Cricetulus griseus: one gene and its partners. The protein of the gene in region 5 binds, or shares a complex with, the protein of the main gene of each other region. Links are inferred from orthologs where the notes say so. Each region holds a gene or a part of one and is shown on either strand. Other genes may lie near its edges. The genes, in order: Med18, Med31, Ccnc, Med24, Med7, Med13l and Med13.

Region 1 (2,823 bases), on a different chromosome or scaffold from region 5:
ACCCGAGTTCAGATCCAGGCACCAAGGGGAGGTGTCTGGCTTCTGTAATGCCAGTGCTGGTGGGTGGCTGGTCAGTCTAGATGAGCCTGAGCTCCAGGCTCAGCGAGAGAACTTGTCCAGAAAGGAGAAGTGGATAAAGGTGCTGCCGGCGCCAAGTCTGACACCCTGAGTTCCACACTCAGGCCCCACATGATCAAAGTGCAGACCAGCTGCTGGCAGCTGTCCTCTGACTCCACGTGTGCACACGTTAAGTCCTAAATAAATAAATGTAATATAAAGTTACAATATAAAGTAGATGAGCCAAGCCTCACTAGGGTTGTTTGTAGGATCCCGAGTAAGACTTCTAAAAAAGTAGAAAAGCCTGGAAGTGGTGGCGCCCGCCTTTGGTCCCAGCACCCAGGAGGCAGAGGCAGGGCATCTTTGTGAGCTCGAGGCCAGCCTGGTCTATAGAGCGAGTTCCAGACAGCCAATGCTACACAGAGAAACTCTGTCTCCAAAAACCAAAAAATAAAATAAAATAAAAAAATAAAGAAAAGAAAAAGGACTGAAAGTTTCCCTCAGAAGAAAAACAAAAAATTAAAAGAACAAAAACTATATGACTTCACATGGAGATAGAGGGTGACAACTTGCAGCAGTCGGTTCTCTCCTTCTATATGTGGTCCTGGAGAGGACTCTGGCCCTCCACAGGTGTGCCCACACACATACACAACAACAATAATAGTAAAAGGGTAATATAACAATAGTAAATAGTTAAGAAGTAATAATAATAGTAAGAATAAGGATCAGAATCGAAATTTCTTTCCCGTCTTTATTACCATACAATGCCAGCTCACAACACTGTTACACATCTTATATACAAATGACAAAGTAAGATAAACAAAAACATGAAAACAAAAAATAAATAAATAATATATATATAAAAACAATGAAAAGGCAAAACAATCATCAGAGTTGTTTTTTGACATTTTCCTCTGAAAAGCTAATTTATTCCAGTTCCCTCTCTTTGAGCAGAGGGAGGACTTGGTCAAATCTCCATGTTATCCTGGGCTTTTAATGGGAGAAGACTGTCAAGGAGATCAAACAGCCGGCTTCGTAAGGAGAGCCTTAATGTGGGTAATTAGGCAGACGGGCTCTGCGTTACTGGCTAGTTACGGAGTGAGTTCCAGGTGAGCCAGGGTAAGACCCTGCCACCAAGAAACAAACAAACACAAAAGATGAAATTACTATATAAAGGAAATGGTCCAAAGGAAACATATTCTCACCACTTAAGTTTTCCGGAAGGGAGTCGGCCTGACTGGCAGCAGTGAACCAGGGCACTTGGGAGATCTTTCTGCCTATCAGGTGAGGACAGACCTCAAAGATGGACAGACCTTCTTAATCACATAAGCCTTTTGGGGTCTATTTTTTCCAGGTGAACCAGAGGTTTGAGCTGCTCCGCAAAATTCCTCATGTCATCAGAGACCATGTCCTGCCCAGCTGGTGCAACAACACTCAATTCCACAAGATAGGAGAGAGACAGGGCCTCTGTGCTGTCTGTGTTCCCTGGGACCAGGATTCGGAAAATCTTGTACACCACAATCTTCATGATGCCCTTCCGGAACAAGTGTCCTTTGGCTACAAACTCATGGTCCATGCGGAAGCCCATTTCCATCAAGAAGTCTGTGAGGTTCTCAGATGTGGCAATGTCCACACAGTTGCGAACCAAGGCGTGACGGTTCTTGTCTCCCATTTCTGGCTGTCCCAGGTAGCGCAGGTGCCACGGTGCCCCTGCCCTGTCCATGGAGCGTCGGGCCCTTAGAACAAATGGACTGGCCTGCTGGCCCTTAAGAAGGAATACCATCTCGTGATCAAGGAAAGTCTCAGGCTCCATGTTGTCACACAAACCACGAAGGCGATGGATGAGACTTTCCAAACTGTGGTCTAAAACACTCCCTGAAGAGGTAAAAAGACAATGAGTCCTGGATTTCATGCAAAGTCATGAAACTAGCAGAAGATAAACACACACCAATAAATAATAATTCTATGCATTGTTTCATGTGAACCATCCATGGGATTCTACTGGTTCTCTACCTCTGCTATGTGGTTCTCATAGATTGATCTCAGGCTATCAGGCTTCAAAGCAAGTACCCCGTGGTGGTTGGAGTAAGAATGCTCCCATAGGCTCTTACATTTGAAGGTCTAGTCCCCAGGCAACAGAATGTTTACGGAAAAATTAGAAGGCATGTGCTTATTGGAAGGAGTTACAACACCAGGAGTGGGTTGAGTTTTCAAAAGCCCACGCCAGCCCCAGTGTCTTTCTCTCTACCAGTGGATCAGGCTGTAGCTCAGGGCTATTGCTCCAGCACCTACCTGCCTGCTAGCTTCCATGCTCCTCACCATAATGATCCTAAACCTCTGAAACTGTAAGCAAGCCTGCAATAATAAATGCTTTCTTTTGTAAATGTTGCCTTGTCATGGTGCCAAGAAACAGAACAGAAACTAAGACATAACCTTACAAATTAAGCTGTCTTGTGAGCCCATAGCCAGTTTTCTTTATTTTTTGAGACAAGATTTCTCTGTATAGTCCAGGCTATCCTGGAACTTGCTCTGTAGACCAGGCTAGCCTTGAATTTGGGGATCCACCTGTGTCTGCCTCTGGAGTGATGGGATTAAAGGCATACAAAACCATGCCTGTCTTCTTGTTCTTAAGTACAATTATATGAAAAGGAAAATTTGAATTTGTTCCATAAGTAGAATTTCATTAGCTGGAAATAAATAATTGCAGCTGGCTGTCAATCAATGGTAGAGCATGTGCTTGGAATGCAAGGCCTTGGGCTTGATCAC
Region 2 (4,495 bases), about 25 Mb from region 5:
CTTTGCTGTGATTTCCAAGACTCCATATGAACTGGTATCTCTCTCTCTCTCTCTCTCATTACTATACTCTCATATTCTAACTGGTCTTTCTGTTCCATAAACATCTTCAGTTTGTTCCCACTAACTTTTTATGCTGGCTTTTCCTCCTATCTAGAACGCACTCCCCTCCAGTTCCTGGTATGGCTCACTGTTCACCCACACAATTAGCAAGGCTCTTCCTGACGGTATTCTCTAGAGAAACTTCCCTGTTCTCTACCAGATACCTTTTCCTTCACATGAGCACAAGAGACCTTAGCTTTCCCCTTTGTTTCTGCCTCTTCACTACAGGGAGATCTTAGTCTTCTCCACTGTTATCGCTGACATGCTCTGACTAGTACCTAGCACACAGTAGGTACTCAGTAACCATCCTCTGTCAGCCTCACCCTTCAGGTCAGGTGCCAATGGCTTTCTTTTCACTTTCCCTTCTTAGCATATTTTTTATTAATTGACTTGCCTTTTTTTCCCCAACACCCCCTGACCTATTTAAAAAATAATAAAAGCCTGTATGTGGAGTACTGTGTATAAAAACTTAACATAGGAAAGCTTATTATGAAATACAAATAAAGGTCAATTAATAATCCATGAAAGATGATTCTTTGTTCTATTGGTTTCAAGCACTATATAATCAAGCCAGTGGTCATGAATTCATGACAAGTTTGGTCCTTCTTCGCAAATTTCAAGTGGTCAAACCATTCTAGAGGGACCTCAGGCTACGAAACTTACCTGGTGCAGAGACTCAAAGAGCCTCTTTGTCCATCATCAGCCGAGTATATACGCACCGCAAGTCTGAAGCCCTTCTGTGCTGGCTTCGAGTTAAATAGTACACTGGGTCAACAGCAGGGTGGTCTAAGGTGATGCAATCTCAATACATGTTGGCAGCACCCAGAAACCACAGCCTGTTTCTTACATTGATTTACAGGCTGTTTCCATGAAACCAAAGATGCTTGGCTCTCCTGGAAGCTGGCTGGCTGGCAAATGGAAACACTTCAGTGCTGGCTAAGGGCCATGGCCACTTCATCGGGTCATTTTGGCACTCTGGCGAGCTGTTTGCTTGTCCCTCCTGGCTGGGCTCTCTACACGGTGCACAGTCGTCTCCACCCGCAGGGATGACGACGCCCTGACGTGGCTGGAGGACGTCTCCGTGCACTGCGAGGAGGTTTCCACGTGCTGGGAGGATACCTCGAGGAATCTAGGGAGTCGCTTCGCGGAGGAGGTCAGGGAGGGTCCCTCTCGGTGGCGCTGAGAGGTCTCCACCTGACGAGAAGACGTTCGAACCTGCCGGGAGGACGTCTCCACGCGGTGGGATGACGTTTCCTCGCGGTGGGACGACGTCTCCACGCGGATAGTCGACGTTTCCTTTTGGCGGGTGCTTTCCACTCGCGGGGCGAAGGATTTACTCCTAAGGGGCGAGGCCATCCTGCTGGCACACCCAGGTCAGAAGGGACACAGAGGCCCAAGACTCATGCTCTGTGTCACGTCACACAAGGGACGGTGACGTCAGGGTGATGAGCTACGTCAGTGTAGGCTGCTGCGGGCCACATAGGATCTGCGAGCAACGAGCTCTTCCAGCACGCGCCGCTAGATAATTGCTCAGGCTGCCGGCCCAGACCACACAGATAGGCGGGGCCTCTCTCCTCAGAAGGAGGCTGTCTCCGCCCTCGCGTCCCACATGCCCCGCGACCGGAAATAAGAGCCGTGGCTTCCGGATCCTCCCTCACCATTTGAAGCCGCGGTTGGGTCGGGCTGGTTGTGTTCGCGTCTCTCTCCTCTCTGGTTATGGCCGCGGCCGTCGCTATGGAGACAGGTTCGTGGTGTCGTGCTCCTGGAGTCTTCACCGAGGGAACGGGTCCTCCCCCCTTCTCTCCGGTTTCCCCGCGCCGTCTTTCGGGCTTAACCCGGCATCCTTAAGGAGTTGGGATCGGTGGGGGAGAAGGCGGTGTTGTCTCTGATTGTGGCCTGTGTGAACGACATCTTTGCTCCTGGGCTGCTCACACCTCCACTCCCTGGCTCGCGGGCCGGGGTGGGACTGAGGGAGAGGACCGAGCCCTTCAATTGTCTGCTCTATGGAGCTTTTCCCGTGAACTTGCTTGAAATGTTTGTAACGTGTATGGTTCTGATACGGATTACCGTCTCCTCCCCGCTGTTTAATCATTTTGCATCTTGCTTCCTGCTTTTATTTAGCACTTTGTTTTTGTTTAACTTAATCACTGTTAGTAGTTGTGGTTGTAACGCTAACATTGGGGGTGGCACAGCTATTACAGACCAACCAGTGATCTCTGTTACCATCCTCCCATAGTGGCCTTAAATAGCCGTTTCGTTTATTTTTCTCAACTAACTTTAGGTAATTTATTATCTTTGTTTTGTTTTGAAGACAGGGTCTCACTATGTACTACTGCCTAGCCTGGAACTGGCTATGTATACCAGGCTGGCCTGGAATTCACAGAGATCCTCCTGCCTCCCCCTTACAAGAACTGGGATTAAAGGCATGCACCACTCGGCTTGTTTTGTTTTAAACCAGGCTCCACTCTGAGATTTCTAAGGAAATCTCTCCTGCAGTTTGGTATTTGTTTCATAAATTCATTCCTATGGGGGTGGGCGGTGCATGCCGAGGTCAGAGGACAACTTGCAGGAGTCTACTGTTCCTGCAACCCTGCGGGTTCCAGGGATGGAGCTCAGGTCATCAGACTTTTCTGTGAGCACCTTTACATGCTGAGCAGTCTCACTGGCAGTTTGTTTTTGTTTCTACAAATCATTGGTATCGTGACTTTTATTTTGGGTGTCTTTTACTTTTTTCTCCTAGATGATGCTGGAAATCGACTTCGGTTTCAGTTGGAGTTGGAATTTGTGCAATGTTTAGCCAACCCAAATTACCTTAATTGTAAGTCGAGTACATCATTAAGTTGAGTAGCTAGCTGTTAATGATTTCTGACAGAAGAGATGGAATTCATAATAGTATTTACTTCGGTATGTTTGAATGGGATTTTACTTTCGATGGTCTGTAGTTATTAACTGAGCAAACAAGGACTTGTGTTTTTTAATTCCTTGTGTTTTGATGGTAGGAATGTTAAAAGAGCTACTTTATTGTAGCGATTACAAGTCAGTAGTCCAGCAGTTGGTTGACATACAGATTGTTTCTTTATGCCTTTCAGTTCTTGCCCAAAGAGGTTACTTCAAAGACAAAGCTTTTGTAAATTATCTTAAGTACTTGCTTTACTGGAAAGAACCAGAATATGCCAAGTATCTAAAGTAAGTTTAATTTTTATAATCTTAAATCTGTGTATACTTTATTATAAATACGAAGTGCTTATATTTAGCAGTTTTCTCGGTGTCAGAATGGCAAACTATGTTTTGAATTTTTCTGCTTTTAGTTCATGTCATGTCATTGTCATTTCTAATTTGAATTGTTACAGTAATCTCACTTATTTCTGCTGTCATTCTTACCTCACTCCCTTCAAACCAAACAAAGCCAAACAGTTGTCTGTCAAAACCAATTTACTGTCTTAGTAGTATAAATCAGAACATGCCACTTCTATTCATGTAGGATAAAATCCAGTAACTAGTTTTAGAGTAAGACTCTGATTTGATTTGGTCTGTCTGAACTTGTCATTTAGCATTCCCCTTGTCTCTCTGGGTTTCTAATGCCTTCCAACCTATAAACTACTAAAATGTAGTGGTATAGCCATAAGCTGAAAATGAACATATAAGAAGTGGTGTTTTCTGGGAGTCTTAGACTTACTGTCTTCTTTATAGTTTCCTATGTGTCAAGTACTGTGCTAAATGTATCGTGCACATTAACTCACTGTAAACAAAAGAAAGACAAACATGAACACTGTCAAGTTGTTTGATAGACAATTGTGAGAAACATCACAACTACACAGCTATCCCTTTGAATGGTAAAACAAAACCTTGAACTCACCCCTCTGCTTTGTCTTAATTAAAAAAGAAAAACAAGCTGGTACACACCTTTAATCCCAGCATTTGAGAGGTAGAGGTGGAGGTGGATAGATCTCTGAGTTCAAGGCCAGCCTGGTGTACAAAGCTACTTCCAGGACAGCTAGGGCTACACAGGTAAACCCTGTCTTGAACTCCCCCTCCCCTAAAAGGGTGGACAACAACAACAACAACAAACCCAGAAATTTTAGCCTGATGCCCCTTTAATCCCTGCTCTCAGGAAGATCCGGCAGATCCCGGTGAGTTTTAGGCCAGCTTAGTTATGTAGCAAGTTTCAGGCCAGTCAAGGCTACATAGACCCTATCTTAAAAATTAGAGGGAAACATTTCAAGCCTTTTCTTTATATCCTAGTCACTTTTCTGAATTGATCCTGGACTGCCTGTAGAACAGATTGCACCGGATTTGCTCTTTATGATGCAATTATTGATTCCTTTAGGAATCTGAAGGAGAGACTTTTAAGTTATTAGGCTGTTATAACAGTGCTAGCAGATTTACAGACTGGGTA
Region 3 (3,817 bases), on a different chromosome or scaffold from region 5:
GCAAACAGTCTTAGAACTAAAGATTTTCATAAAGATTTTATCTTATTTTCCAGTACTATTTTTTTAAAATATAGCTTCATGTTGAGATTACACACATACACATAAACACACACACCATTTTGTGTATCAACATTTAATAGATCGTTTACCAACTTAATGATACAGAAAAAAAAATCTCTAGCTGTAGTGTGGTTCTTCACTGTATACTGGTCACAGTGTGGGTAGCTCAAGGCAGATTTCGGGGGAAATCAGCAATGTTAATCATGCAGGGGTTGTCTCCTCAAAGGAGGAAATAAAATACCTGCTTTCCATCCAGAAAGTAGGGGTGGATATTATTAACAACCTGTTGACCTTTTGCTATCTATAGAGGCAGACCTCACCCAAATAACCCAGGATGTCTATCCCAGACTTTCCCTCCCTAGACCTATATCTTTAGCTCTCAATTAATGGAACCCATCCTTAAGGGATATAACCTAAATTTTAAAAAGCTAAATTTCACTTAAGCATTTTTGACCTTTGCAATACAGTCACGTTTGGTTAGACAAGCTTTTAAGATGGTCTTGTAGGCTGGAGAGGTGGCTCAGAGGTTAAGAGCACTGGCTGCTCTTCCAGGGTCCTGAGTTCAGTTCCCAGCAATGACATGGTGGCTCACAACCATCTATAGTGGGATCTGATGCCCTCTTCTGGCACACAGTAACATGCAGATAAAGCACTCCTATCCATAAAATAAATAAATCTTGCTGGGTGGTAGTTGCAAATGCCTTTAATCCCAGCAGAGGCAGGCGGATCTCTGTGAGTTCAAGGTCAGCCTGGTCTACAAATCGAATTCTGGGCTGGAGAGATGGCTCAGGGGTTAAGAGCACTGACTGTTCTTACCAGAGGTCCTGAGTTTAATTCCCAGCAACCACATGGTGGCTCACAACCATCTGTAATGGGATCTGGTGCCCTCTTCTGGCCTGCACTATATATATGATAAATAAATAAATCTTAAAAAAAAAAAAAAATCGAATTCCAGGACAGCCAGGGCTGTTACACAGAGAAACCCTGTCTCAAAAAATCAAAATAAATAAATAGATAAAATAATTTTTGCTAATTCAAAATACCACCAAGTCCAGTGCTTCACAAGAGTCACCAGTGCTGCAGAAGTATTCAGTTCAGCCCATGTGTGACCTGTACTACTCGTTTTTTGTTTTTTTTTTTTTTAAAGGTTTTATTTATTTAAGAGTATACAACATTCTGCTTCCATGTATATCTGCACATCAGAAGAGGGCACCTTATAAGGGATGGTTGGAAGAGCAGTTGGTGCTCTTAACCTCTGAGCCATCTCTCCAGCCCAGACCTGTACTACTCTTACTACTAAGAAAGGAGCCAGAAAAATCAACAGGAGAAGAAAAAAGGAGCAGGAACTATGAAGTGCCTAGGATGTAACAGACATTTGGTGCTCTATAGGTTGTTTCACTTAACTCTTGAAACAATTCTTTATGAAATTATTATCCATCCCACAACTTTATAAGCTCAGAAAAATTACATAATTGTTTCTACAACTGTACAGAAAGCAATGTCTCAATTTGGTCTGCTTAACTCTAGCCCATCCCTGCGTGCCTTCTCCACCCCATGGGATGCCAGCTAACTTCTAGTGACAGCAGCACAGGTGCTTCTTAAGCTCTTGAGGTTTTACTGGATCCGGAAATGGAAGTCAGAACCAGTTACTTAAGACAACTAATATCAGCAGATTTACACCCAAATTTTCCCCTTTAAGCAAACAAAAATGATGTTTAGGTACTGATTAAAATGTTTTAAATGAATTAAGGGGGGAAAACTATCAAAAAAGGGACTGAGGATTAGCAATGTATAGGGGGAAAATTATCAAAAAAAGGGACTAAGGATCAGCAATGCTAATCTGTTAATAGTACTTATTACTGAAAGCTCACATTCAAGGATTAGTCTACCACTTGATAAAAACATAAATTACAATCAGGCGAAATGTATTTTAGGATGACCTAAATAGGCAAAAACAGTTTAACCAATAAAGGCACTCCAAATTTACATACCTAAAGCTATCATGAAAGGAGGATACAGCAGACAAAGATCCGTCCTGTAGGTATCATTCACTATTCTCCTGTGGAAATGTAAATCTTATCATTACTAACAGCACAACTACTTCATTGACCATGTAACTTCTCCCAGAGAGAGCCAGATTTCCATCTTTGTGCATTTACATCCCTGTTCTACTACCGAGAAGAGTCATAAAGATGAAAACACAGAGGCCAAACAATGGATGCCTGAATGTGACAACAAAGATTCATGTATCAGTGAGCATATTTTTGATGTTGGTACCTCACAACAAATTATATAAAATAAATTTTTCATATTTTTGAAAAATAAAAAATAAAATTAAGAAGCCATTATTTGAAATGGATTTGTATTGAATCCAATCAAAAAGTACTATTTTAAGAATAAATTCTGGGTGGTGGTGGTGCACGCCTTTAATCCCAGCACTCGGGAGGCAGAGGCTGGTGGATCTCTGGGAGTTCGAGGCCAGTCTGGTCTCCACAGTGAGTTCCAGGCCAGCCTCCAAAGCTACAGAGAAACTCTGTCTTTGTAAGAATAAATTCATTGTTAATTTTCATGTGAGGTCTTATTTTTCATATGAAACATTAACAGATATACTTATCAAACAGGTAATTCAAGATATATATGACTTTATAACCTTATACCACTATAGTTATTAAAATTTTTTTGTTTTTTACTTTTTGTTTTTTCGAGACAGGGTTTCTTGGTGGCTTTGGAGGCTGTCCTGGAACTAGCTCTTGTAGACCAGGTTGGTCTCTAACTCATAGAGATCTTCCTGCCTCTGCCTCCCGAGTGCTGGGATTAAAGGTGTGCGCCACCACCACACAGCCTAGTAATTAAAATTTAACAAGCAAATATTTGCTGAATATAAAATATCTTGGGGCACTTTAAAATACTAAACCACATATTTAGTTGTCAACCCTCCTGTCTAGCAACAGGTTTCATATGAGTAACTTCTGTTCTAGTTACCATGCAAGGGGAAGCAACACGTCTTCTTGGCCCATGTCCTGCACATACTGGAGCAAAGGTCTATAAGGATGATACACTATCAAGCAACAATCCTAGAAACAGTTTAAAAACATATATGTATAAGAGCAGATTTATTACAACATAAAACAATACCATTTCCAACTAATTGTATTTAAAATTAATTTCTCTATCTCATACTTGCTTCTTCCTTCTTATTCTTTTGCTCACATATGACCTGAGCTACTGTGATAGTGAAGGAAATGCTCTCTCTGGAATATACCTTGGTAAATCAGTAGGCAGCCAGTCAACATCCACTCTTGCCCTCAGAGACTCAAAGTGTCACACCTGCAACACACTGACACCTCTCACTAGACTATAAAGCCATAGTCCCAACGGAGGAGCAGAATTCTGCCAAAGACATAATCTGTCTTTAGTTCTGTGTGTGTGCACGCACACACAAATTGCACACAGTTTGCAGTGGTTTAACTTCCTGGCTTATTTGCTTGTAATCCTGATTATAGCTATAATAAAATTTTAAAAAATTTCCAGAGCCCAAGTAAGATATACAAATTATTTTACAGGCATCAGAAGGAAAAATAGGTGATAATGCTACTATAGTTCTATGATTTTGCCATCACATATCATTTAGATAAATTTAAAATTTATCTCCCTTCAGAACAATTCATTAAGTTTTACTGTATTATGGAAAAATATACATACCATTAATTCTAAAAGGTAAAATTCACATTCTAGTATCTGTTAAAAGAAATTATCC
Region 4 (4,002 bases), about 51 Mb from region 5:
ACAGCTTCTTGGGGAAGATGGATCATGAGTCAGTGGGAGAAAGGGGGCAAAGGGCAGGGGAGGGGACAGATGAGAGGCAGCCAGGGCACACTGAGCATGTGCACAGGACTGGTCCCTTTACCACTGTCAACAGCCTTCCCAAAGCTGTCCACCTAGGAGAATGACACCGCGGCTTTTATAGGCAGAGACCTGGATCAGAACTCAAGTTCTGCCTTGGCTGGCTTTCCCTTAATGAGCTCTATCTCCTTGCTATCATCCTTGGGAGCACTTCCCTGCTTGGCTCCGCTCCTGAGCTGAAGATGTCTGCAAGGGTGGGATGTGGCCATGAAGAGCACTTGCAGTTGAAAGTCAGCTGCAGGCTCCCTGTGGGTCAGAGCTGCCCAACCAGGCCAACCTAGGCACCGTCCTCCACAGCCCTCCATACCACTGGCTTCTCAAAGCCCCCTTGACAATTTCCCTTCCCACAGCCTCACAGATCCATGTCCCTGGACCTGTAGAGTGTGGAGAACAGAGTCCTCATCCTCATCCCTCCAACAATCTTCTGGAACACACAGTGAACTCTGGGCCAGAGGGTGGAGTGTGACTAAAGAGCAAGCCATCCTGCCCTGCACAGCACAGTACAGGGCTTTCACAGACCTTTCCACTTTCAGTGGGGGCCTGTGAAAAACGAGCCTGGCCTTCCACACCTCCTCCCCCACCACAGGACTGTGCCCTTCCCTGGCCACAGCACAAGAGACTTGCAGGGAAAAGATACTGTCCCCAGTCATCCAGCAAAGCTACCAACAGCATTCAATAGCTACAAGGATCTTTATTTACAAACAAAGCAAGAGGGACTCCCCCTCCTGAGTTATAAAAATAAACTTATATATACACTGTGGCCCTATAAAGTCCCTCCTTGGAGTTCAGCTACTGCAAGAATTGGGGCAACCATCGGGACCACTCGCAGTCTTTGGGTACTGGTGGAAAGGACAGAAAACCACAGAAGGAACAGGCATAGTAAGTAGAGGGCAGGAGTGGGTGAGGGCCTCAGACTGGAGAAGCATCCTTGCACCACTGGATGGGGCAGCCTGGGCTCATCCTCACTCCCCCTGCTGGGATGCTGGGGCTGGGACCCCGTCCAGGCTACTCCAAGCTCCTCAGAGTGCAGCGATGGCTTTGGCAGCCACTTGCCGACCGAGGGGCAGGGTGAGGTCTGTGATGGCCAGCACTACCTTGGGGCTGGACATGGCAGACACCTTTACTAGTTCCGACACAGTGGCAAAGGGCATGAACTGCAGAATGCTGCCCCTGCTGTCCTGCTCCAGGCAGTCGACACACTCCTCCATGAACCACTGCACAAACTGGGTGTGGGGGCCGGCGGTGCGGGAGCCCAGGATGGAGGAAATGAGCAGGAACAGGTTGGCTGTGCAGAAGGGAACAAGACAGCAGAGCTCTAGAACAAGTCAGACGAGAAAGAAGGGGACCGAGGAGGGAAAGGAAGAGGCAGTGAGAGCTCACATAGGAAGGCCAGGGAGGGAAGGTGGGGCGGGGGATGGGGGATGGAGTAAAGGGAGGCTGTTAGCGGTGGTAAGGGAACAGGACAGCACATGGAAGCGGAACAGGATGTCAGGGCCCAGAGGATCCCTCTGGCAGGCGTGGCCCTGCCTCTGACGAGGAGGGGCCCGTGTAGCTCAGTCTGCAGGTAGGCACGGCTGGGAGGACTCACCCAGGACTCTGTTCAGAGGGTCCCTCATGTTGACTGTGTGGAGTTGGGAAGCCGAGAGGGAGCTGTTCATGGAACGGTCAGCTGTGGAGTGGCAGAGAGGGTGCTGCGTAAGCTCTGACTCTAGGGGAGCCTTACCTGTCCCCTGCCATCAGGGGAGTCTGGCACGTACGGGGCACAGAAGAGCCTGAATCTGGAGAGTAGATGAGTGGGAACAAGCCTCTGCGCACCAACCGAGGCTAACCCTGGCACTCTGTGTGGCTGAAGCCACCTGTCCCACTCAAAGCCCATTTTACAGACGTACAATCTGTTTGCTTAGAGCCTGGCTAAGGTCAGAGGTGGTCTGCCAGCAGCTTTCTTTCACACAAGGCTGTGGCTGTGGCCTGGTCCCTTATAAGGCTACAGAGAAAACTTCTAGGCTCAGAAGAGATCTCTGGAAACAGGAAACTTGGATGCCACACAAAAAAACTTTTGGCAGAAGGAAAGGATGACATGGGCTGCCCTCTGGATAGGAAGGCAGGAGTGCAGCCCCAGGTCGCAACCTGACAGGGCCTGTTCTCAGCCACAGGGCATGTCTCTGGGTTAGAAGGATGGCAGAGTGAGTGAGTGAATGGTACAAGCTGTACCAAGGTAGTGAACTCACTGGGTGTCTTGTCATCTTTCAACTGGTGACAAGAGAGGGATAACTGTGGGACTGGGAGGGCCCCTGGAGGAGAACTTCAGGTCCCCACCAGCAGGCAGCAGAGCATCCACTAGGGACAGACGTGGAAGCTGCTGCCACACCACACTGGCTGACAGCCATCAGCTGGGAGCCAAGGCAGGTCCTTAGGGACAAATGGTCCTAGCAAGCCCGTGACCTCCCAAGTGCTCACTGGGACTCGACAGAATGTTGGCATCATCCTCATTGGTGCTCAGGAGTCGCATCAGCTTCGAAGGCTGCATGTCTTCCACGGGGAAGAGGCTGATATAGTCCTGGGGGCAGGAGTCACTGTCACACACCCAACCTCCCAAGTCTCCAAGGACTGGAGAGGGCTGGAGGTGAGATCTGAGTGGAGAGGAGTGAGTTTCCTAGTCCCTGGCCAGCATCCCCAGTGGTGGCCCTTCCCACACTCCAATCTCTGCCCTAGTGGGCAGAAAGGACCCTCATCAAGGATACTCAGGGGCCACTCAAGCCACTCCCCCAGACCCTGACCAATCAAAAAGGCCCACACACAGGGGACCTCAACCCCACCCCCACCCTGGGAAGGCAGCTCTCTGCTCTAAGTGATCAGGAAGCATCTCATGAATAAACACACAACCAAGGCGGTGGCAGACCTACCTCAATGTCTTCCCTGTGTCTCTTCTTGTGGCGGGAAGCTGCCTGTCCCTTTTGAGAGGAATAAGAACTCAGGGCGCACCACACAGCTAGTCTGGTGAAGGGTTCCAAGAAAAAAGAATAGTTAAGAGAGTCCCAAAAGAGGCTATGTGTGCTCATGCTGAACAAGCCCCTCCCACCCACCACCACTCAGCGGGCCCCCCAACCACAGCCTGGCTTCCTGAGCTGGCACCAGGGCTGGGGTGCCTGAATCTGGGTGGTAGATTCTTGGGACTCAAGGGGAGCAGACACCAGGAAGGCTCTGGAGAGAATCCTACTTGGCTAGTGCAGTGCCAGGAGGGTCCATGAGGCTGTGCCACTTGGAGGAGTCAGTAAGCAGACCGGGCAGGATGTGGCCCAGCAAGACCAGGGTCACCTGCGGCAAGTCCAGGCAGAAGATGGAGTAGAGTAGCTGTACTGCCCTCAGTGTGTGTTCCTTGCGAGTCTCCTTCAGCAGCTCCTGGGCAGTGGGCAAGCAGCGGCTAAGGCACTGCACACCTGGGCCCTAGGGCTCTCATGCTCCAGCCACTCTACAGTCAAAGGTGCTATCCAACTCCAACCGAAGGTGCTTCTCTGAGGTGAGGTCCCTACCTCTGTCTCCCCCGGAGACCACCCAGCTTCCAGCAACCTCCCAAAGAAGCCTGGCCTACCCCAACTGAGGACACCCATGGCCCCAATCTACATAGCTGTCCACATCCACCCTGGCCCCAGTACCTTAATCAGGTTGTTGCAGAACCAGTAGACGCCGCCCATGCGCAGCAGGGTGTCTAGGATATGGATGGAGCGGCTGTCCACCCAGCCCCTCTCCAGCACCTTGGCAAAGATGTCTGTCAGTACCTCCTTGATGGGGCGCTTGGGAGGAAGCAGGTTCCAGTAGGGCATTGTGTCCACGCCCGTGGATGGAAACTTGATCTGTGTTGCTGTCTGCTGAAGCACGTCCGCACAC
Region 5 (4,387 bases):
TATTAATTTGACTGCATCTGAAATCAACTAAAACCCAAACTCCTGTGAGCTCCAGTGAGGAATTTTCTTAATCAGATTTTTAGAAGCAGGAAGACTGGTGGCATGTTCTTGTAGCTGCCCAGGTAAGAAGGACAAAGGACAAGAAAACAGCAAACTGTGATTTTGTTGCTTGCCCTCACTCTCACCGGCAACTTCATTCATTTTCTTGTTCCCTCATTCCTTTGCCAGTACTGGAACTGAATTTCTTTGGGATTCTTACATAGATTGAAGACCAGCAGCTTTCCAGAAATCCTCCAGGCCTCCAGTGCCAGATGAGAGCTTCTGAGATGTCCAGCCTCTTGTACTGAGCAACTACAGGGTTCTCAGCCTTCCATGCATGAGACAGCCAGTGTTGGGATATTTGGACTGGATCCTTGGAGACACTCTAGTAAACCATACATGCATACATATTCATTCTATCAGTTTTGTTCCTTTAATGACCCCAATATACTTTCAGTGAGATTATAATTCTATGGGTATATGAAGAAATAAAGAGCCCTTACCTTTTAGCGCTGCATACAGGACTAAAGATGAAATGATGCTGAGCATGTAACTGTTGAAGTTGGCGGTGAGTAGACTGCACTTCACTTTTATGCCTGCAATTCCCCACATATTTAAAGAAAGAAACTGGGAGGATCTTGTTTGTGAAGCAGAGCTGTTTTACCAGAACATTCTTATCTTTTAGATTGCAGTGTGCACCCTTAAGACTCCCAAGAACTTGGACATTTGTTAACAATTCTTGTGGAAAAAAACAAATACTGAAAACAAAACCTTAAACCGAAAGTTTTCTTGCTGGGACTGATAGCGAATTTCTGAACTCTCCTGAGGGCTGGGCTACACAGTGAAATTGCTCCCTCCCTCCGTTAAAAAAAAAAATTACACCAAACTAATTTTTTTCACTTGTCAATTTGTGTAAGAATTGTAATAGACGTCTTTGAATTCCTAAATGAAAATAAAAGTGGAGGGGGAAACTGGATGTTTAGGATTTTATTCTTAATCATGTTCAGAAGTATACCATATATTTGCAAATATTTATATACACTTATGTATATCACGGAGTATAATCTTATATTAAAAACATTTTTGATGGTGAGGTTAACATTGATAGAATATTTTAATATATTGCTTATCCGTATTTTCTGATTTTTAAATAAGGCAAGTGGATTCGTTTTTAATTCCAAGAGTCTCATTTAAAAGTGGAGGTGGCGAGGAATAGAATTATTAGATAGTATTTTCTTTTACTGACAAAATGAACGAAGAAGAGGTACTCTCCAGACTCGACCTAGGTTACTCAGGGGCGCGGCGGGAGGGGGGAGGGGAAGGAGGAGATGCCTGAGACAACCCCAGGAGAAGCGGGAGATGCAGAAGTGCGCACGCGCAATACCTTCAGGGCGGGAGTAAAACCTGTTCTAGGACAGCCTTGGTAGCCAATTAAAGACCAGCGTCAGAGGCTTCTTCCTGAGAAGGCAACCGGAACTTGTGCTTCTGCTGCGCTGAGGAAAAGTCGCTACCGGAAAAGCAAGCGCTGAGGTGAGTCCGCGGCTGCGGTTGGCAACCGCAGCCTGATCCTCTTTCTCCGCCCCCGTGGCTGCTTCTCTCCGGGCGTGGAGCGCCGCCGGGCCGGCGCGGGGCATCCTGGGAAGCCCGGGCTCGCCTTTCCCCCCACGTCGCTCAGCGGAGCTTGCCGGAGGCCGAAGGTGAGCCGAGTGCTCCCTCTCCGGGCTTCCCACGTGCGAGACGAGCCGGACTGGAGGTTGGGAGGCCCGAGTTCTTGTCCCCACTTCGACGACTTTTAAACTATCGTGGCCTTAGCCAAGACTGTCCCCCGTCGCCATTGGTAAAATGAGAAGAGCCACCTGGGAGCGCTGGGGCTGGGGCGGGGGCCCACGAGCGGATCTGGATTCCCCATTTACCAGACTTTCAAGGGGTCCCAGTTTACAGGGCACAAAGTGAAGCAGGTCTCTGAGCTTGCGACGCTTTCCCTGCAAAAGCAAACACTACTAAGTGTGAGTTTTGCTAGTGTTACAAAATTACGACCTCCAGCGGCTTTGAAAAGTTCTGTTTAAACCGGTGATGGGCGGATCCTGTCCTGGGGCAGGCTGTTCCGCGGGAAGCCTCGCTACTTAGTGGAGTTCGGGGATTTGTACTTGGGAGCGGAAACAAACAAAAAACCCAGAGTGAGAAGTCCCGTTGTACCGTTTGCCAGTCTTTTGATCTAATGCTCCACGTTGGGAATTGGCTTCTTGTTTCTAAAATCGAATTGGGAATAGTTGTGTCGTTGTGAAGAAGAAATGACGGTGTAAATAGCCGGTGCCAGTCACTTACTGGAAGCCTTTGGGAAACTGCGGGTTTAGTGTGGGCGTGGGGAAGGGAAGCACAGAACCTCAATTTCAAAAGCCCTCAGTGGGTGAAATTAGGCTGTGGTTGCAGGAGAACATTCGTGTTTTAGGTATATACTGAAGTACTTAGGGGAAAAGGTGTCAGGGTGGGTGGGTGGGTGGGTGAGGTGCCCAAACAGTTGGAAAGCTGAAGACTTTGAAGTGGCTGCCCTCAGATTTAACATATTCCAAGGAACTGGTACTGAACCGGTATGTTACTTGCCCCAGTTGATGTTGGTAGATGGATGGTGCGTCTTGAAACTCAGATCAAGTGTGAAAAAGCACTCAGGAGTCTCCTCACTGGATGTACACTTATCAATGGATAATACACTATATAATTCAAATTGGAATAGGAGAGGTTATTTTGACCATGTGTGTTGCAGTTTTTTTTATTATTTGGAAATATATAAAATGCTAATGTGTTAATAAGACCGTACTCTTTGGTTTTTCGGGACAGGGTTTCTCTGTGTAGCTTTGGAGCCTATCCTGGCACTCGCTCTGGAGACCAGGCTGGCCTTGAACTCACAGAGATCCGCCTGCCTTTGCCTCCCGAGTGCTGGGATTAAAGGCGTCTGCCACCAACGCCCGGCCCTCTCAAGATGGGGCTTCCTTCACAAAGCCTGGATAATAATAGAAGTTTGAAATTTAACAATGCTTTTTTTGTTGTTTTTGTCAAAATGTTTAGAGTCTTTAAGTGTTTGGTTTTGGAAACCAGTACATAATAGAAAGCAAAAGTGATTGTGATATGAGATTGATAAACACCATAGGTAGTTTCACTGTGGGAAAGAGTAGTAAAAAGGCACGTGATATTTGTGTGTATAAGTGTTCTTTTTTCCAGTGTGGGTTCCAACATAGGCCTATCCACCCCCCCAAAAAAAACCCAAAAAACAAAAAAACAAAAACAAAAATCAGACATGACAAATAATATATCATGTGCCATACAAAATCATCCCAGACATGGACCCTTTTCTCTTAGTTTTTAGAATATGTATTTTGTTCTTTGAGAATTTTATACACAATGTGTTTTGATCATGCCCTCTCCTTCCCCTCTAATACCATGCAGACCATCACCATATCTCACTCCCAACTTCATATACTTTAAAAATAGTTTTTAAAGGTATTTTTAGCACAGGCTGACTCAAAAATCAATGTGTAGCCCAAACTGGCCTTGAACTCATAGCTGTCTTGGCTTCTATAGTGTGAACCACCACATCTATGACAGTTGAGGTCCTTTTTCAAAATAACAACAAAAAAAAATGTTTAAAAAGAACAGTAAGTAAAGTTATCTGCCAAACCTTTAGTGGACTTGACTGGCTGCTTCCCACTTCCTATGCTTCCATTTGTCAGCTTACATAGAACACATGAGTCCTTAACCCTAGCGTCCCTCTTTCCTCACCAAGCAGAACAGGTGTCCTTACTTCATAGTCACATGAAGTCTGGCAGACAAAAGTGTCCTTTAGCAGGTGACAGGGACTTTAAGGGATTCAAATAATTGTAAGATTTCCAAGTGACACTGCTTCATGTTCTCAGAATTTCCTTCATAGAGTCTGCATACCTCGACTTGGGTGTATATTTAGATGCTAGAGATTGTTTCATGGCTCTCATCACAGTTATCTTCATTGCACGAAGCCATAGCTTTGCTTTATTTTTCTTTTCCTTTGCCAGGGTCACCTGTTCCTTTAGGGTGAAATTAGCACACCTTGTGTCTTGACTGGCCAACAAGTTCTCAATTTTCAAGGCATACTTACCAGCAGGAAGCTTAAAGATAATATGGTCTGAATTCACAGTGTACTTCTGAACATTGAAGTTGATGTTGTCCAGGCTGCCCTGGTCATTGGTTGGTAATTTTTTTCCTCAGCAGTGAAGCTTCATGATACAGTGACAGATGTCATAAGAGCCTCTTCCTCCCACCACACCCCTTTATTTTCAGGATGCTTTGTATGGGTTTATCTTTGAGAAATTAACAAGTG
Region 6 (3,817 bases), on a different chromosome or scaffold from region 5:
AGTGACAGACCCCAGCAGTTTTTGTAGTCAGTGCCAGAATGAGGAACTGGGTGGAAATGTGACAGAAAGACTCTGGACCTGCTGGAAGCCAGAGCCATTGTGCTCTATGACAGTCCTACCTTCTGAAAAGTCTGTGTGTGTACTTAAAGGACTCCTGTACCTGGATCTTCCACTCTTTAAAATGAGATTATTCTGCTGTGACTCTACCCAGAACTTTGGAAAAGCTCTAGCAGCTAATGCCTGTGGACTGCAGAGGGGAGAGAACTATGAAGCTGCCCTGTGAGTGTCTGGCTTGGGTTGCTGCCAACCTCAAATGAGGCCTGGAGCACCAGCACCAGACACCCTGGGCATGCTTGGGCCCTGGTGGCCATTCATGACATCAGGAGCCACTCAGCACTTTAAATTTGCCTCTACTCACAGGTTCCCAGGACAGGCTCTGGTAGTTTTCACTCTGGGTCATCATTCCCACCCACTGCATTTGTCTTCTTTGGCCAAAGACTAGACTGGCAGTGCTGCAAGGGAGGTGCTTTTTATCCACACAGTCTAATGGTATGACTGCGGGCCAGCCTTGGCCACTTAACATGTGGCTACTGGGTTATTTGTTCTGCTTCATTCAGATCTAGCACTGGGATCTAGGAGTTGCATTACTGAGCAGCATGGCTCTACACTGTCAGTTCCTGCTGTGCTCTCCAGTGTCCACCATGCTGGGCTCATTTTTTACAGTCAGTACACTTGTTGACATTTGCTTCAGATTTGCTGTATGTCATGGCAATTTTAATTTTTCTCTGCTGACTGTCCCACTTTTCACATAGGGTTGGTTTTCAGTCCATCTTAATGTACAGGGAAAAATGACGCTGCTAAGTAAGATGAAGTATTTGCTATCTAGATAACAATGGAATTATTCAGATTTTCAGTTAGCAGGTCATGGTTCCTTTTTTGATCCAAACCTGCAGAATTATTTTAGAGTCTTGTTGGCAGGAAAACTTTAAAGGAGCCTGATGAGTGCGCAGATGGTTATCTATTGCACTGTTCAATCTCCAAGTCAGCTTTTGTCTGTACCCAAGATAGCCCTGTATGTCAGGGTTTACATACTGCCAGGTTAGATACCTGGGCCAGTGGTATAAGTTCTGAAAGATTACAGGGAAATGACTGTGTAAGGGAATGAATGTGTAGCTCACCAAGGAGCATCAGTGAAAGCACTGGGATCATGTTTCCAAAAGAGTCGTTAGGACTGAAAAACTTGCTGTCTCTGATGGCTTGCAAGTGTAGATTGGGCTTGTATACTGTCTCTGGGTCTGTGGGAATGGTTGAGGATGTGTTCTATAGTGGAAGAACATCCAAATGCTACAGACATGGTCTTGTTTTCTGCCCAGCTGCTCTCCCCAAGCCACGGCTTATGAGATAAAACAGCCCTGTCTACCATGGGAATGAGAGTGATTGTAAGTAATACGTAACATTGAAAGATGAAGGAGACTGAAAGAGAACCCAGGAAATCTCTGTTTCTGGAGACCAGAGTCGGTGCATCTTTCCCAGTAACTGCTGAATAACACCAAACCCTGTGCAGAACAGAGAGATGGGCACAGTAGCCACACAGTACTGGGATCATGCAAGTCTGGCTCGTGCTACCTTCTTCCACTTAGAAAAGCACCACATTTGAATGTGATTTGGTTACAGCTAATTCAGTATCATTGTATAATGATAGCACCATAGAAAAGTGCACAGGCAGACTCTTGGTTTCAAAAAATGGCAAAGGCGAAGTTGCAGAGTCTATGCAAACACCACTGTGCAGCATTCCAGCCAATCTAGCCTGCACTCCTGTGAGCTGTTAGTAGTTACAGCACTTCACACAACTTCTCCATGCCCACTTTCACATTTTCTCTTAGAAGACTGGAAGTCCCTCAGCAGATCAGGATGAGGATTGTCTAGTGTGGATTATGTGGAAAGAAAGTACTCTCTCTCTCTCTCTCTCTCTCTCTCTCTCTCTCTCTCTCTCTCTCTCTCTCTCTCTCTCTCTCTCTCTCTCTCTCTCTCTGTGTGTGTGTGTGTGTTCCTTTCTCATGCTCTTGCTTCTGCCACTCCCCTCCCCTCCCCTCTCTCCCTCCTTTTTCTGTTGTTTTTGAAGAGAAAATTGCACATCTAGATGCTCAGTGCAGGGCATGGCTTCTGTGGCTGCTCCCCTTCCTCACCACTACCTTGTGTCTGTTGCAGTAATGTGCCTAGTGTTGGGAGCCTCGCAGATCCAGACTATCTGAACACACCACAGATGAACACACCTGTAACGCTGAACAGCACTGCCCCTGCCAGCAACAGTGGGGCCGGAGTCCTCCCATCTCCAGCTACCCCTCGATTCTCTGTCCCCACACCACGAACTCCTAGGACTCCAAGAACTCCCAGAGGTGGGGGCACTGCTAGTGGCCAAGGGTCTGTGAAATATGACAGCACCGACCAGGGGTCACCAGCCTCTACCCCCTCTACTACGAGACCCCTTAACTCTGTGGAGCCTGCCACCATGCAGCCAATTCCTGAGGCCCACAGTCTCTATGTCACCCTGATTCTGTCAGATTCCGTGATGAATGTCTTCAAGGACAGGAACTTTGACAGCTGTTGCATCTGCGCCTGCAACATGAACATCAAAGGGGCAGATGTTGGGCTGTACATCCCCGATTCCTCCAAGGAGGACCAGTACCGATGCACCTGTGGGTTTAGTGCGATCATGAACCGTAAACTTGGTTACAATTCAGGGCTCTTCCTTGAAGATGAATTGGATATTTTTGGGAAGAATTCTGATATTGGCCAAGCTGCAGAGAGGCGCTTAATGATGTGTCAGTCCACCTTTCTTCCTCAGATGGAGGGAGCCCGGAAATCCCCAGAACCCCCCATAAGCCTTCTCCTCCTCCTCCAAAATCAACACACACAGCCCTTTGCTTCTCTCAGCTTTCTGGATTACATCTCCTCAAACAGTCGACATGCACTCCCCTGCGTGAGCTGGACTTATGACCGGGTGCAAGCAGATAACAATGATTACTGGACAGAGTGCTTCAATGCCTTGGAGCAGGGGAGGCAGTATGTGGATAACCCCACAGGCGGGAAAGTGGATGAGGCTCTGGTGAGAAGTGCCACCGTACACTGTTGGCCTCACAGCAATGGTAGGTATTCCAGAATGCAAATTTGCATCAGAAGTTATCTTGGTGCAAATGATAACTTAAAAGCTTTCTTTACTACATCACAAAAATGCAAGATTTAAACTTATAGGTCTGGAAGTGAGGGGTATGCTGATTTCTTTTACATTGGAGGGGTGGGGATGTCTTCTGCTGGAGGTTTTGGAGAGAAGCGATTACCTCCTGAAACTTATCTGTTACATTAAATCACAAACAGGCAGTGCATGGTGGCAGCTTGTGGCTGCTGAGTATCAACATGGCCCCCTATATGAAACTGATGGTCAGCGTACCTGCCTCCTGATACCCAATCATCCTTCTGGATGCATTGCCATGGTGCTTCTTCCTTGAAACTGGCCACACATATCCTGAGTACTTTCTCCTTCTGGTTTCTCAGTGTGATGCATCTCTTGGGACAGTGACCACATCTGACTTTATTGCAGTTACTGGGGCACATCCCAGGGCATTGTGCTATTTAAAAGTGCCAATTGCCCCATAGTCTAGCTTAGTGGTAGAAGCCTACAGTTCAGTCCCTAGTACTGCTGCAGAAGGGAGAACTACTTCCAGTTGAAAAGCATGTTTTGAAATTGGGGTCTGTAGATCCCCTCTACTCTAACAGACACATGGGACATAAAATGGTGACCAAGAGACTGAGAGAGGAG
Region 7 (3,817 bases), about 39 Mb from region 5:
CTGTTTTAACCAAGTTTTAAGAAATAAAATATAGTATAGTTGACATGTATACAATGTTACATAGTATATCTTATGATTTTTCTCGTAAGTCTTTATGGTAAACAAATTATTCATCATATTAATTATAAATAAGTTTACTTTTAAATTAATTAATGACAAGTGTGATGACTTGTGCCTATAATCCCAGCATTTAACAGGCCAAGGGAAGGAGGCTTGCTGCAAGTTCGATCTGACTGTTTATAGAACAAGATTGCCCTAAACAAAATAGCAGGAAATGTTTTAAAATGAGCACCTAAGGATATTTTTAATTCTGAAAATATGTCATTGCTAGCTTTATATGTTTCTGTCTTTAATATTTTCCTAATAATCTATTTATTAGCTTTGGAAATAAAGATGACATGAACTGGCTTTTTCCTAATTTCCTTCTTTATTAGGAACTGACGAATCTCCAGAACCACTGCCAATTCCCACGTTTTTGTTGGGTTATGATTACGATTTTCTGGTGCTTTCTCCATTTGCTCTCCCTTACTGGGAGAAACTTATGCTGGAACCATATGGATCTCAAAGAGATATAGCCTATGTTGTACTCTGTCCAGAGAATGAAGCGTTGTTAAATGGAGCCAAAAGCTTTTTTAGAGATCTTACTGCAATATATGAGGTAGGTATTTTATAATTTATGTTTAAATTATACTGGGGAATTCTACTGGCTGATGAAAAATGCTGATTTTTGTCAGTTGTCTTACTAGGAAACTATACTCTTCCACATTTTTGCTAGTCTCTGTTAGGTATGTGTGCCTTGGGTCACAGTGGAAAACATAGTATAGGAGGGACCCATCGAGGGCATATGTGTTATATTTAAAGTAACCCTTGGTATGTTGGGTGTGGTGGTGCATATCTGTAACTCTTGTACTGAGGTAGTTGAAACCGGAAAGTCTCCAGGCCAGTCTGGCCTTCACAGTGAATACCATATCTTGGAAAAACCGTATTACTAGGGATGGTGGTATATGCTTATAATTCCAGCATTCGGGAGATGAAGGCAGGAAGATCAGAAATTCTTGGTCATCCTTAACTACATAGAAAGTTTGAGACCAGCTTGGGCTACCTGAGCTGTGTGTGTGTGGGTTGGGGGCAGGGGGCAGGGGAGGGGAGTGCAAAGCAGCAGCTTGAAATTCCTAAAGGAAGATGACCAGTGTCTGCATACTTACCCATGGTGTTTTGACTCAGTTGTTAATTATAAGTAATAAAGCTTGTTTTAAATAGATTGAGTTTTTAATTTAATATCTGTACCCTAATAGTATAATAGATTCCCTGAGTCTACCTTTTATATATGTATTTGTAGTCCTGTCGATTGGGCCAACACAGACCTATTTCTCGACTGTTGACGGATGGGATCATGAAAGTGGGAGCTACTGCATCAAAGAAGCTTTCAGAAAAGTTTGTAACAGAATGGTTTTCTCAGGCAGCTGATGGTAACAATGAAGCATTTTCTAAGCTCAAGCTTTATGCACAAGTCTGCAGATATGATTTAGGTAATAAATTTGTATTCATTCTACAAGAGTAGTGTGAGCATTGTGGCTTGGTTCATCATCTATTTTTGTAAATAATATCCTAGTGTCATGTAGCCATCTCCATTTTTCAAACACGCTGTCTCTGCCTGCTTTTGTCCTGTAAAGTCAGAACTGAGTAGATGTGGCAAAGGCTGTGGTTTCAAAGTTAAATATGTACTGTCTGACTGTCCACATAGAAATTCCGTTTGCTTCGTATGTGGGCATCCTCTCAAGTAGACATTATGGATTCCAAAATATTTTCTGCTACTTCTGTGGGATCTGATGTTTTACGCACTTCAAGATCTACGATTTGTTAATAATTCAGATGCATGTAATTTCTAAGTCAACTATGCAACTCCAGAAAAAGTCTTATTGTGGCTAAGAGAATGACTGTTATTTAAAACCTTTTTGTACTTTTAAATACCAGTGAACTTTTTTACATTTATCCAAAGAGATGTAATACCAAATTACTGAACTTAGACATTTTTGTAAATTGAGCTTCATGGTACTATTCCTCCATTTTATATTTTAGTTAGCTGTCAGTTTGGACAGTATTTCTTCACTTTGTGAAGAAATAATACTTAATAACACTTGCAGTGATTTGATGAAAAATTGTTACATACTGCTGTCACGCTTGTTGATGTGTTCTGATTTTTTTATTAACATTTACTGGAGTATGTTGGGTATATGCACCTGAATCAGTGGAAGTCAGAAAGCTACTTGCAGCGTTGGTTCTCTTTCTACCATGTGCTTCCTGGGGATTAACTTAATCACTGAGCCATCTTGTCAGCCTTTGTTTACATCTAATTTTGCCCAGGAAATAAAATTTTCTTACATTTTCATATTGATTATCTTAAATTTGAATGAAAATGCAGGTTTACTTTTATAGTTCCATTTTAAACTTGTTTCTTTAGTTTCTGGGAGAAAATAGAAAGCTATTACATGCTACACTGTTAGTAAAACAGTTAAGGGAAGATAATTGCCATGAAAGTATCAACTAAATTGTTATTTCTTTAGTAGAATAAAAATAAGTCAGTGAAACCAAGAATTAAATACCCGTTTTTTGTTCTTTAGGTCCATATCTTGCTTCTCAGCCGTTGGACAGCTCTCTGCTCTCCCAGCCAAATTTAGTTGCCCCTACAAATCAGTCTTTGCTTACTGCACCTCAGATGACAAATACTGGAAACGCTAATACTCCATCTGCCACCTTAGCATCTGCGGCAAGTAGCACTATGACAATGACTTCAGGTGTTGCCATATCTACTTCAGTTGCCACAGCTAATTCAACTTTGACCACAACTTCATCTTCATCATCTTCCAATATGAGTAGTGGAGTGTCATCAAATAAACTGCCTTCATTTCCACCCTTTGGCAGTATGAACACTAGTGGTTCAGGATCCATGTCTGCACAAACAAGTACAGTTCAGAGTGGCCAGCTGGGAGGACAGCAGTCATCATCTCTGCAGGCAGCAGGAATGTCAGGCGAGTCAGCCTCGCTTCCCACTCAGCCACATCCTGATGTGTCAGAAAGGTATTTTTAAGATACTGATGCTTGGGGTTGAGAGATAGTTGAGCAGTAAGTAGCATGGGTTTAGCCTGCTTGAAGCCTGTGGACAGTGTATGAAAAGATAAAAGCAAATTTAAGTTTGTGGAAATTCAGAATCTATGGTGTCTCTTTGTATCTTTTGTTTGTTTGTTTTGGTTTTTCCAGACAGGGTTTCTCTGTGTAGCTTTGGAGCCTATCCTGGCACTTGCTCTGGAGATCAGGTTGGTCTTGAACTCAAAGAGATCCTCCTGCCTCTGCCTCCTGAGTGCTGGTACTAAAGGTGTGTGCCACCAATGCCTGCCCCCCCTTTTTTTTAATCTTAAGACAGTCATAAATGAATATAAAGTGCTTCTTGTTCTTATTGTGGAATTTAGTTCAATCATGTTAAGTATTTTATGTATAAAATTATAATAAAGATTGTTTTAAAAGTCTTTATCATAGAATCACAGGGTTGGTGTTAAGATCTTAAAAAACATAATTCCACATATCCCTATGCTTGAGCCTGGCCTGTGCCGTAAGCAAATGTAGTTTTTTATATACACTGCACAAATGCTTAAGCAGTTGGAGCTTGCTTCAGTGTGTGTGTGTTGTTGGTACCTCACCCTGGGCCTTACATATAGTAGGCAAGCAGTCTACCACTGCATTGTAGCTCAGCCCTGGCCTTAGAGGCTTTAGATTCTTAGTAAATTTTAATGTCAGCCCTGTCATTTACCACTTTGTGATT

Evidence for each region.
Region 1: Med7 (region 5) and Med18 share a complex: the UniProt entries of both Homo sapiens proteins name them as parts of the mediator complex. The link is inferred for Cricetulus griseus from reciprocal best matches to the Homo sapiens genes MED7 and MED18.
Region 2: the proteins of Med7 (region 5) and Med31 are in contact, whole or in part, in a cryo-EM structure (PDB 7EMF), measured with the Homo sapiens proteins. The link is inferred for Cricetulus griseus from reciprocal best matches to the Homo sapiens genes MED7 and MED31. Residues at the interface, in NP_001094286.1 of Homo sapiens: Met15, Gln16, Tyr17, Ile18, Lys19, Tyr21, Thr22, Asn25, Ile26, Lys33, Pro34, Pro35, Pro36, Pro37, Ile38, Lys39, Asp40, Tyr42, Met43, Met44, Phe45, Gly46, Gln48, Gln50, Asp52; in NP_057144.1 of Homo sapiens: Asn14, Arg15, Leu16, Arg17, Phe18, Gln19, Leu20, Glu21, Leu22, Glu23, Phe24, Gln26, Tyr33, Phe36, Leu37, Tyr42, Asp45, Ala47, Phe48, Asn50, Tyr51, Tyr54, Tyr57, Glu62, Tyr63, Lys65, Tyr66, Lys68, Tyr69.
Region 3: Med7 (region 5) and Ccnc share a complex: the UniProt entries of both Homo sapiens proteins name them as parts of the mediator complex. The link is inferred for Cricetulus griseus from reciprocal best matches to the Homo sapiens genes MED7 and CCNC.
Region 4: Med7 (region 5) and Med24 share a complex: the UniProt entries of both Homo sapiens proteins name them as parts of the mediator complex. The link is inferred for Cricetulus griseus from reciprocal best matches to the Homo sapiens genes MED7 and MED24.
Region 6: Med7 (region 5) and Med13l share a complex: the UniProt entries of both Homo sapiens proteins name them as parts of the mediator complex. The link is inferred for Cricetulus griseus from reciprocal best matches to the Homo sapiens genes MED7 and MED13L.
Region 7: Med7 (region 5) and Med13 share a complex: the UniProt entries of both Homo sapiens proteins name them as parts of the mediator complex. The link is inferred for Cricetulus griseus from reciprocal best matches to the Homo sapiens genes MED7 and MED13.

Annotation. Positions count from the first base shown.
Region 1 is NC_048595.1:20,804,465-20,807,287, reverse strand, and holds the end of Med18 (mediator of RNA polymerase II transcription subunit 18), read right to left. Parts: intron 1,933-2,823; coding exon 1,379-1,932; 3' UTR 789-1,378; downstream 1-788. UniProt on the Homo sapiens protein: Component of the Mediator complex, a coactivator involved in the regulated transcription of nearly all RNA polymerase II-dependent genes.
Region 2 is NC_048600.1:86,054,511-86,059,005, reverse strand, and holds the start of Med31 (mediator of RNA polymerase II transcription subunit 31), read left to right. Parts: upstream 1-1,673; 5' UTR 1,674-1,815; coding exon 1,816-1,843; intron 1,844-2,839; coding exon 2,840-2,917; intron 2,918-3,188; coding exon 3,189-3,285; intron 3,286-4,495. Other genes in the region: uncharacterized protein C17orf100 homolog, read right to left, coding at 1,054-1,455. UniProt on the Homo sapiens protein: Component of the Mediator complex, a coactivator involved in the regulated transcription of nearly all RNA polymerase II-dependent genes.
Region 3 is NC_048595.1:119,710,317-119,714,133, forward strand, and holds part of Ccnc (cyclin-C), read right to left. Parts: intron 3,799-3,817; coding exon 3,763-3,798; intron 3,135-3,762; coding exon 3,043-3,134; intron 2,120-3,042; coding exon 2,052-2,119; intron 1-2,051. UniProt on the Homo sapiens protein: Component of the Mediator complex, a coactivator involved in regulated gene transcription of nearly all RNA polymerase II-dependent genes.
Region 4 is NC_048600.1:111,787,890-111,791,891, forward strand, and holds the end of Med24 (mediator of RNA polymerase II transcription subunit 24), read right to left. Parts: coding exon 3,771-4,002; intron 3,517-3,770; coding exon 3,335-3,516; intron 3,112-3,334; coding exon 3,021-3,111; intron 2,675-3,020; coding exon 2,575-2,674; intron 1,787-2,574; coding exon 1,706-1,786; intron 1,403-1,705; coding exon 1,137-1,402; 3' UTR 789-1,136; downstream 1-788. UniProt on the Homo sapiens protein: Component of the Mediator complex, a coactivator involved in the regulated transcription of nearly all RNA polymerase II-dependent genes.
Region 5 is NC_048600.1:60,988,429-60,992,815, forward strand, and holds the start of Med7 (mediator of RNA polymerase II transcription subunit 7), read left to right. Parts: upstream 1-1,433; 5' UTR 1,434-1,569; intron 1,570-1,599; exon of another isoform or gene 1,600-1,876; intron 1,877-4,082; exon of another isoform or gene 4,083-4,254; intron 4,255-4,387. UniProt on the Homo sapiens protein: Component of the Mediator complex, a coactivator involved in the regulated transcription of nearly all RNA polymerase II-dependent genes.
Region 6 is NC_048597.1:98,620,015-98,623,831, forward strand, and holds part of Med13l (mediator of RNA polymerase II transcription subunit 13-like), read left to right. Parts: intron 1-2,208; coding exon 2,209-3,146; intron 3,147-3,817. UniProt on the Homo sapiens protein: Component of the Mediator complex, a coactivator involved in the regulated transcription of nearly all RNA polymerase II-dependent genes.
Region 7 is NC_048600.1:99,532,600-99,536,416, reverse strand, and holds part of Med13 (mediator of RNA polymerase II transcription subunit 13), read left to right. Parts: intron 1-434; coding exon 435-658; intron 659-1,339; coding exon 1,340-1,529; intron 1,530-2,621; coding exon 2,622-3,078; intron 3,079-3,817. UniProt on the Homo sapiens protein: Component of the Mediator complex, a coactivator involved in the regulated transcription of nearly all RNA polymerase II-dependent genes.